2 linked regions of the Rattus norvegicus genome follow. Each later gene encodes a partner of the first gene's protein in a complex. Links are inferred from orthologs where the notes say so. Each region holds a gene or a part of one and is shown on either strand. Other genes may lie near its edges. The genes, in order: Prmt5 and Wdr77.

Evidence for each region.
Region 2: Prmt5 (region 1) and Wdr77 share a complex: the UniProt entries of both Homo sapiens proteins name them as parts of the methylosome complex. The link is inferred for Rattus norvegicus from reciprocal best matches to the Homo sapiens genes PRMT5 and WDR77.

What each region holds. Positions count from the first base shown.
Region 1 is NC_086033.1:31,945,335-31,949,810, forward strand, and holds the start of Prmt5 (protein arginine N-methyltransferase 5), read right to left. Parts: upstream 2,979-4,476; 5' UTR 2,965-2,978; coding exon 2,855-2,964; intron 2,246-2,854; coding exon 2,127-2,245; intron 1,825-2,126; coding exon 1,739-1,824; intron 1,201-1,738; coding exon 1,066-1,200; intron 442-1,065; coding exon 329-441; intron 200-328; coding exon 150-199; intron 1-149. UniProt on the Homo sapiens protein: Arginine methyltransferase that can both catalyze the formation of omega-N monomethylarginine (MMA) and symmetrical dimethylarginine (sDMA), with a preference for the formation of MMA.
Region 2 is NC_086020.1:196,130,264-196,134,074, forward strand, and holds the end of Wdr77 (methylosome protein WDR77), read left to right. Parts: coding exon 1-27; intron 28-465; coding exon 466-537; intron 538-1,155; coding exon 1,156-1,264; intron 1,265-1,724; coding exon 1,725-1,793; intron 1,794-2,523; coding exon 2,524-2,683; 3' UTR 2,684-3,590; downstream 3,591-3,811. UniProt on the Homo sapiens protein: Non-catalytic component of the methylosome complex, composed of PRMT5, WDR77 and CLNS1A, which modifies specific arginines to dimethylarginines in several spliceosomal Sm proteins and histones.

The sequences.
Region 1 (4,476 bases):
ATAGACCAGGGTAGCGTTAATTACACTCCCAGAGATCTGCCTGCCTCCAATTCCCAAGTTCTGAAATGAAATGTGGTGGGCCACCATGCCCAGCCTGCTGATTCTCATTCCCAGGAGGCCACTTACATCTCAGAACCCTGTGGACTTACCTACTGCAATCCTCTTACTATAGTCACACAGAGTCCGGAAGTTATGCCACCTGCCCAGAATCAGAAACAAAGAAAGACCCTGTCAAATGCATATGGCTTATAACTCAAGGAACACTCGAAATCCGTTCCCCATAGTCCTCACCCCGCCCTGTGCAGGTAAAGCAGCAAGAGAGACATACCACAACCACGTCTTCTCCTCTCCACTGTACTCCTCTGTGTGTGCAGTTGGTGCATTCTCAATTACATCATCTCTCAGGTCCTCTGGGGCCACCAAGGGGACCCTCATCCAGAACTAAATATGAACAGGTACCCTGTTAAAGCGCTGTTTCGAACTCAGTGGGTCCAGAAGTTAATCTCTTTATATGCTTTTCTAAAGATTTATTTATTATATTTATTATATAGAAGTACACTGTAGCTGTCTTCAGACACCAGAAGAGGGCATCAGATTTCATTACAGATGGTTGTGAGCCACCATGTGGTTGCTGGGATTTGAACTCAGGACCTCTGGAAGAGCAGTCAGTGCTCTTAACCACTGAGCCATCTCTCCAGCCCTATATGCTTTTCTAAATGTGATTACACGTGTTTGATCTCATACATATCCTTATACAAAGACTTAGCTTGTCTTTTACTTTAAATAGAAATAATTAAGTATTTTCTCTATCTTTAGTTTTATAGTACTAAGACTCAAACCCAGAGGCTCCTGTGTGCTAGGCAAGTGATCTACCACTGAGCCACATCTCTAGCCCCATAAGCTATGTTCTGAAACTCTCTGCACACCGCTTTTAGACGGGGTGGGGGAAGAACAGTACTGACATTTCAATTCTGCCAAATGCACGTGGCGGGGGGCGGGGGGAGCATAACTGGGCAAAAGGTACAGCTAGCGTGATACACAGTAGGAAAGAACCCTCAGTCATACCATGGAAGAATGGTGGCCAGTGTGGATGTGGTTGGTCAGAACTCTGGCCAGATTTGTGTTATCTTCCTGATTAAGGGGCAATAGGAAAGCTGGAAGACCTAGATATGCCCCAAAATTCAGCTCCTGCAACATAGCCTGAAACATAGGATGAAAGAAAACCATTAAGAGCTAAGAACCAAATACTTCTGGGGTAAGGTAGAGTAGAAACTGGCTCTGACACTGTGGCCCAGGCTGTTCTGGAATTTTCTCCATAAGTCAGCTTGACTTGGAATCTGAAGGAGTCCTCACTCACTCTCCAGAATGCTAGGATTACGGCTGTAAGCTGCCATACTCCACCAGAGCCAAACGTTTCCTCTTTTGAAACAGGGTCTGGAATTCAGCGATTCGCTGAGTTGGAGATGTACCTCTGTTGAGATTATAGATGTAAGCCATCACACATTTCTTCAGACACTTAACTGTACTATGATTTACCAGGTTACTCTCCTAACCTAGTTTAGTGACAGAATTACTTTATGTCCTTTTCTTTTCCCCGCATGGAATTCTCAGTCCTCCCTCATTATCTTCCAGATGTGGGAATAGCCTCCCAGATGCTTGAGATTGCAGATAGGTGCCACAATACCCAGGTCAGGCCTAACTTTTAAAGGGATCCCACAGAGAAATTAAACTGCCTTACCGCCTCAGAGTTCCTTCGGATCTTCTCCACTTTTGAGTCTGGATGAATCCATGGAGAAAGCTTTCCCACAATTAGCGTATTCCAGTCTGCACTCCCCCACCCAAGAAAAGACAAAGATTCAATGGGGTTTGGCATTTTCTTGCTCAACTTCTAGTTCTCAGCAGAGAGTAAAGAGGTGAAAAGCAAGACTTTTTTCTCTCTGATAGAGGGATAGCCTGATGAAGAATGGGGGGACTGCAACTTTTAGAAAGAAAGGGGAAAAAAAGTTGTTATTTATGTCATAGGGGCTAGCCAATATATAACCAAATCAGAGGAGGAAAATTAAGTCCTATAAAGCAGAAGATATTACTGCCTCTAATAATTAAGGGGCACAGGGTAAGGTCCCTACCCCTTCCTGACAGCAGTAGGTCTGATCGTGTCTGGGGGCCAGGCCGATTCTTAGCAGGTTCCTGAATGAACTCCCTCTTGAAACGCGGGTGGAAGACAGGCATGCAGAGGAAATCAAACCTACAACCGTGACAGACCCAGAATCATCATGTAAAGTAAGGGCCCAGAGATCCAAGCAACTGGGATATTAATATCTTGATTTTGCACAGTTCCATAAAGCCATCATCAGTCACCCCACGGGCTATTGAGTTCAGCCCATCTTGGGACACATCACTTTCACAACACTGTGCATCAATTTCTTCCCAAAACACAATCATGAACCGATGAGCAAGAAATGGACATAGAAGTCAAGTAGATTTCTTTCTTCCCTGACTTCACTGGCTTTCCAGGACTGTCAAATTTAGACCTGTCCCAACACTGCCCATGCCTCCTCAAGCCAGATTAACCTCTTCTCTCGCTCGCCTCCTTATACTTCTCTCTACTCTCAAATAATCCGTCTCCAAGGCCTACTGTACATCCCTTTTTAAATCTGCCCTGTAACTCCCCTGACTTTTGAACTCCGTGACCACACGCCCCCCAGAGTTTCAACCTCTCGTTCTTGGGGCCGAAGTCTTCCCCACTCAAGGAGTAATGGTGTCTCAATCCCTCATCCCCTGCGAGGTACTAGTCTGCCCTCCTTGTTCCCCAAATTTGGATCCCGCACTCCTCTGGAGGAAATCCGGCCCTCACCCCTGCTTGGCCACAGCACCCAGTGTGTCAGCTATTTCAGGGACGCAATTCAGGTCCCTCCCGCTGGACACGCGGCTGCCACCAGCACCTCCGACTGCCATCGCCGCCATCTTTTCCCTCGCGCAGCCCACGCCGGGATTCCTTGCTATTAGAGGCCAATCACAAAGCGGAGAACAGTCCCGGGGAGGCGGGACAAGTCGCCTTAACAACCAGAGCGTCTTTACAGCCCCAAAGCGGAGGTGGAGGGACCAAGTCGCTGCTCCCACCAATCCGCAGACCGCACAGTGACATGGGCGTGGCACCCTTGCTCTACCAATGACAGGCTCTCGTTGCTGACGCTCTGCAATCTCCCAGAATGCCCAGTCCATCTGTAGCGCTCTAGTGAGACTACAGGTCCCATGCAGCCCTGCGGGATAAGTCTGAAGTATCATTATTGGGCCGGCCTGTAATGTCTGCGGGCCAGTGGCGCAATGGATAACGCGTCTGACTACGGATCAGAAGATTCCAGGTTCGACTCCTGGCTGGCTCGTTGGGACTGGTACTCCTTTATTTGCATCCCTTGCTAATCTAATCATCTCCCAATGTTGCTACTTCAAAACGTCTTTCTTTTATATCCTCTGCTATTTCTTTCACGCTGTGGTTTTCAGGTCTTGGTTCGATTTTGCACCCATCTAATGCTGGCCTTTCTCATTCCTCTCTTCAAAGCTGTTTTGTATATAATCAAGTTATTCTGAGTATGAAAATTTTGGTGACTGGACTATTAAAATGAGTTTTGTCTCATTGTTTTGCTACACTTAAAAAATAGACTGTAGTAAATCACCCACTAATTCCTACTGATTCTGTCCCAAACACGAATGTAAGTAAATATCTTCGCGTGCGCACACACCTCAGAGAAAAGAAATTCACCAGAAATTACAGTGCCCAGGAACCATGAACCTGCATTTCCCACTCTTAACAGCTGCTCGCACGAGCAAAAGGAAATTACAGAGGCAAGGAAAGACCTAGGAAGGGAAAAGGGAAACACATCCCTGAAGACAACAAGCCCATAGATACTGAGGGCCCTCCAGCCAATCTGACGGAGTTCTTTTCTCAGCTGAAGTTCCCTCTTCCCAAATAATTCGCCTTGTATTACACTGACTTAAAAAAGCAAAAACAAAAGCAAAACAAAAACTAATCACGATATCCACGACAGGAGACATTGACAGAATTCAGGGACTAACTAACAAGGAGCCAGGAGAAAATAATTAATGATAATGATAATAATAATAATGACAACAATGACGACGTTCATCGTTTTGTCCCTGCAGTGGGTAGAGGTCAGGGAGAATCGTATTTGGGGACTGGATAGGCTGAACTGGTCGTCTAGAGAGACCTGAACCAGGCAATATTTGGACATGACTAGTGAGATTAGGGGTTCTGGAGGACAGTGCTCTTAGCAATACAGAAAGGACATGGAGTCCTGGGTCATGTGAAAGTCAGGAAACCAGAGAACTAAGAAAACGTCCCGTGAGGGTGTTGAGGGTGCATTTGTACCCTGCCACCTCCACCACTACCACCTCCCCTCCTTTTGCTGCTCTAGGACCTTGTGCAGTATACATCCTACATTCAGTTGCAATTATCCG
Region 2 (3,811 bases), on another chromosome or scaffold:
GCTGTCCCAAGCCGGCATCACAGATGGGTGAGTCTGAGCTCCATGGTAAGGAGGAAGTGGTAATGGGGCCCACGTGCAGGAGGCTTTTGCTGCTCACAGTCACAGCAGAACTCTTAGATGCCCACCCTCTGACAACACTGTTTTCTGTCTCACTGAGACTTTGCTGACCACAGTGCATGGGGTACCCAGAGTAAGGGTTAGTTTCCATGTGTAGTTTACTGTGCAAACAGCTGGGCAAAGGGTCAGGGTTATTATTTTTATGTCTTGTGCTTTTAGTTGTACAGGAGATGGCAGGAGATGGATGGGTAGATGTAGGTGTAGGCTCAGGGGTGAGGACATACATGACTGCTCTGGCAGTCTTTAAGAAACTCAGTGAAAGTGCTCCCAGGATTTACTGACTTCTTTTGGAAGAAGCTTCTTCTAGGTTGTGACCATTGTTCCAAATCTCCCTTTTTTCCCTTCCAGGCTGCAATGCCTCTGGCTACCTCCCTACCTCCCTGGCTTGGCATCCTCAGCAGAGTGAAATCTTTGTCTTTGGTAAGGCAGCATGACGTATCGACTCTGGGAATGGGGCGGATACCTTGGAGTACATGCTCCTGTCAGCACACTTGGGCACTGCATGGATTATGTCGGTTTTACCTAGCTTTGGAGACCATCATTTTTTCCTAATAGGTTTGCTTCATTGTTTCAGCTCCTTTATTCTGGGCATGGTTAGAAATCAGTGAGCTGCATAGCAAGTGCTTGCTGTTAGGGAACTATGTTCTGCTGTGGTGTGACTACACATGGCAAGAGTTTGTAGTTAATGTAATAACTTTATCCAGTAATTCACAGCCACATAGTGACTGACTGATTCTATATCACAAAGGAAACTGTTGTCTACATCTTGAGAAACTAGGATTCATTCAAATCTCCCATCTGACTGACATCAGTGTCTATGGCTTTTTTTTTTTTTTTTTTTTTTTTTCCCTTCAGCCAAGACAGGGTCTGTATGTAGATGTAGTTTGGACTGTCCTAGAACGTGATAGGCCCAGTTGGCCTTGAACTCTGAGATCCTTCTGCTTCTGCCTCTCATCACATACTAGGATTAAAGGTGTGTGCTACTTAGCCCAAATCATAAATTCTTAACCACTGTGACATGCTCTCTTTCTTCTACAGGTGATGAGAATGGATCTGTCTCCCTTGTGGACACCAAGAATGCAAGCTGCACCCTCAGCTCAGCTGTGCACTCGCAGTGTGTCACTAGACTGGTGTTCTCTCCACACAGGTACTGTTTGTTACCAGGAACCTGGAAGGGATGGGTGGGGACTGTAATGAAAGAGTAGGAGTGGAGTGATACAGGGATGTGTCTATTTGGCAAAGCGTTAGCTGCTTACATTGGACCTCAGATAGGGCAGTACTCTAACCTGGTTTTCCTAAGCTTGTCCAGATAGTCTTTATTTGGTTTGTGTAGTTTGGAAAGACCTAAGATGTAATCTCACTCCTGCTCAGAGCCTGTGGGTGGGTAATTGCTAATGTAGGGAGGACCCTTGGGCTGGTTGGTTTCCGTGAGCACTGGCTCTGTTCCATCTTCCTTGGATGTAATGGTGGTAAGATCTGAACCCAAAGTGGGCATCAGACTGCCCTCTCCCCGGCTCACTTTACAGTGGGGTTGGGGCTGGCCCTGTTAGATTTCGGTTGTAGAACCTATGGGCATTATCTTCTCTTCCCTTTGTGTCCTCTCCTAGTGTTCCCTTCCTGGCCTCTCTCAGTGAAGACTGTTCACTTGCTGTGCTGGATTCAAGCTTTTCTGAGGTGTAAGTTTGAAGTAGAATCCTGTGGTCGGGAATCAGGGATCAAGACCAGTAGGCAAGCAAGTCTGTTTTCTCTTCAGGAACATGCATGTAGAATTCTTCCTTTGTTGGGTCTGGAGAAATGGCTCAGCAGTTTAGAATACCTTTGTTTCTAACATCTGCATCAGTCTGTACATAGCTGTTTGTAACTCCAGATCCAATGCATATGATACCTGTGTGCGTCCGCACTCAGTTGCACACCCACCCACATGGAGATTATTAAAAATAAGTATAAATACAAGAAAATTCTTCATCTTTGTCTGCAGAGATATCCCCTCCCCCAAGTCGTCTCTGTTTGCAGCTGTGTGTCTAAGACCGAGTGCTGGAAGCTGTCTGATTGTAGGCTGTTTACCAAGCGCTCCAGCTTCATGCAGGGCGCCACTTCTGAGAAGTGGAACTTGCTGTAAAGCACTGGATGGAAGGCCTGGGTGTGTCCCTCTGCCATAATTTCCTGTTGACTGTGGGCATTATTGCTTCCGATTCTGTCCACCATTTCTTCACCTAAGAAAGTAGACTGGATTGGATAATCTAACATCCACTGGCCTGGTGATGGGGCTGTGTAGATGGTGAAATGTTTCAAAAAATGTGTCATAAGTGTATGTTATTAGTTTTTTTTTTAATTTTTTTTTTTAATCGTTCCTCCTGGGTTTTCATCTTTTCTCTTACCACACCACATTTTCCCCTCTTGTTCTAGGTTTAGAAGTCGAGCCCACAGAGACTTTGTGAGAGATGCTACATGGTCTCCACTCAATCACTCCCTTCTTACCACAGTTGGCTGGGACCATCAGGTCATCCACCATGTTGTGCCGTTAGAGCCTCTCCCAGCCCCTGGACCTGACAGTGTTGTGGAGTAGAATGGATTGCAGAAGAAAAGAGCCTTCTGTCTGCAAGTGTCGACTCGCTTGCCCCTGCCTTCCATTTGTGAGAGAGAGAGCACAGGAGCCTTGTAGAGCATGATTACTCCCTAGTCCCGTGCAGTAACTAGTCAGATTCTCAGCCTGAGGGAGGCTGCATCCCATAGTGACTTGGAGGAAAAAGCTTCCTTTATAAATGGATGTATGTGTGAGTACACGTGTGAGTGCAGTGTATAGTTTGGAGTGGAGAAAATTATCCTTCAGCTTTCCCAAAGCAATGCTCTTTACCCCCGACAAAATGACCAGAGGATTTTATGCTTCCCATGTCTGGGGGCTGACTATGTTGTTAGGGATATGGAGTGTGGGTATCCCTGGATGCTTGGGAATACTTCACATTACTCAGAGGTGCGTAACTTATTTTTATATAGAGTTTAATTCACTATATGGGAATTACTTCCCATATACAAAAGTCTAGCCAGACTACCTTGAGAAGACAGAACAGTTTTGTACGAATGCCTGTTAAATGGAATCAAATCCACTTTCTGGGTGAATCAATTTGGCCCTTGGAGTTCGCGCTCGCTCACCCTGTGTTCCTTCTTTTGTGTTGTGTATGAGAGATGAGTGCTTTCCTGTCCTAGATTTCACAGTTTTAGGGATGATGGAGTACTTAAATTAAAAGTGTTTCAGTGAAGCGAGAAGATTGACATGGATTGTTACAGAGAAATCTGTCATTGTCATTTTTCCCACCTAAAAATTCCCTGAGGACTGATCTGGGTACTTTGCTCTGGAGAGCTGAAGTCTGAGCGCTGTATATTTGGACTCCTAAGATTGAAGATCCGGCATCAGAGAAACTGTCAAAAATACTGGAAGGTGAAATAAAGACTTATCCTTTCATCTTTCCTCCAAAGCTTATTTATTACCTGCTTTGCTTAGGTGAGTCACCTGAGTATCAATCAGTCTTAACTGCCCACTGTCTTTGTAGTCTACTGTTCGCAGAACATCTAGAACTTATTTATTTATACTTGGCATTGGTGGACTAGGCACTCCGTTAGCAATTATGGGTCAGTAACTGATCTTATTAGAGCTTTACAACTTTGGTTTAGGAAAAGCACATAAAATGGGCGCCCT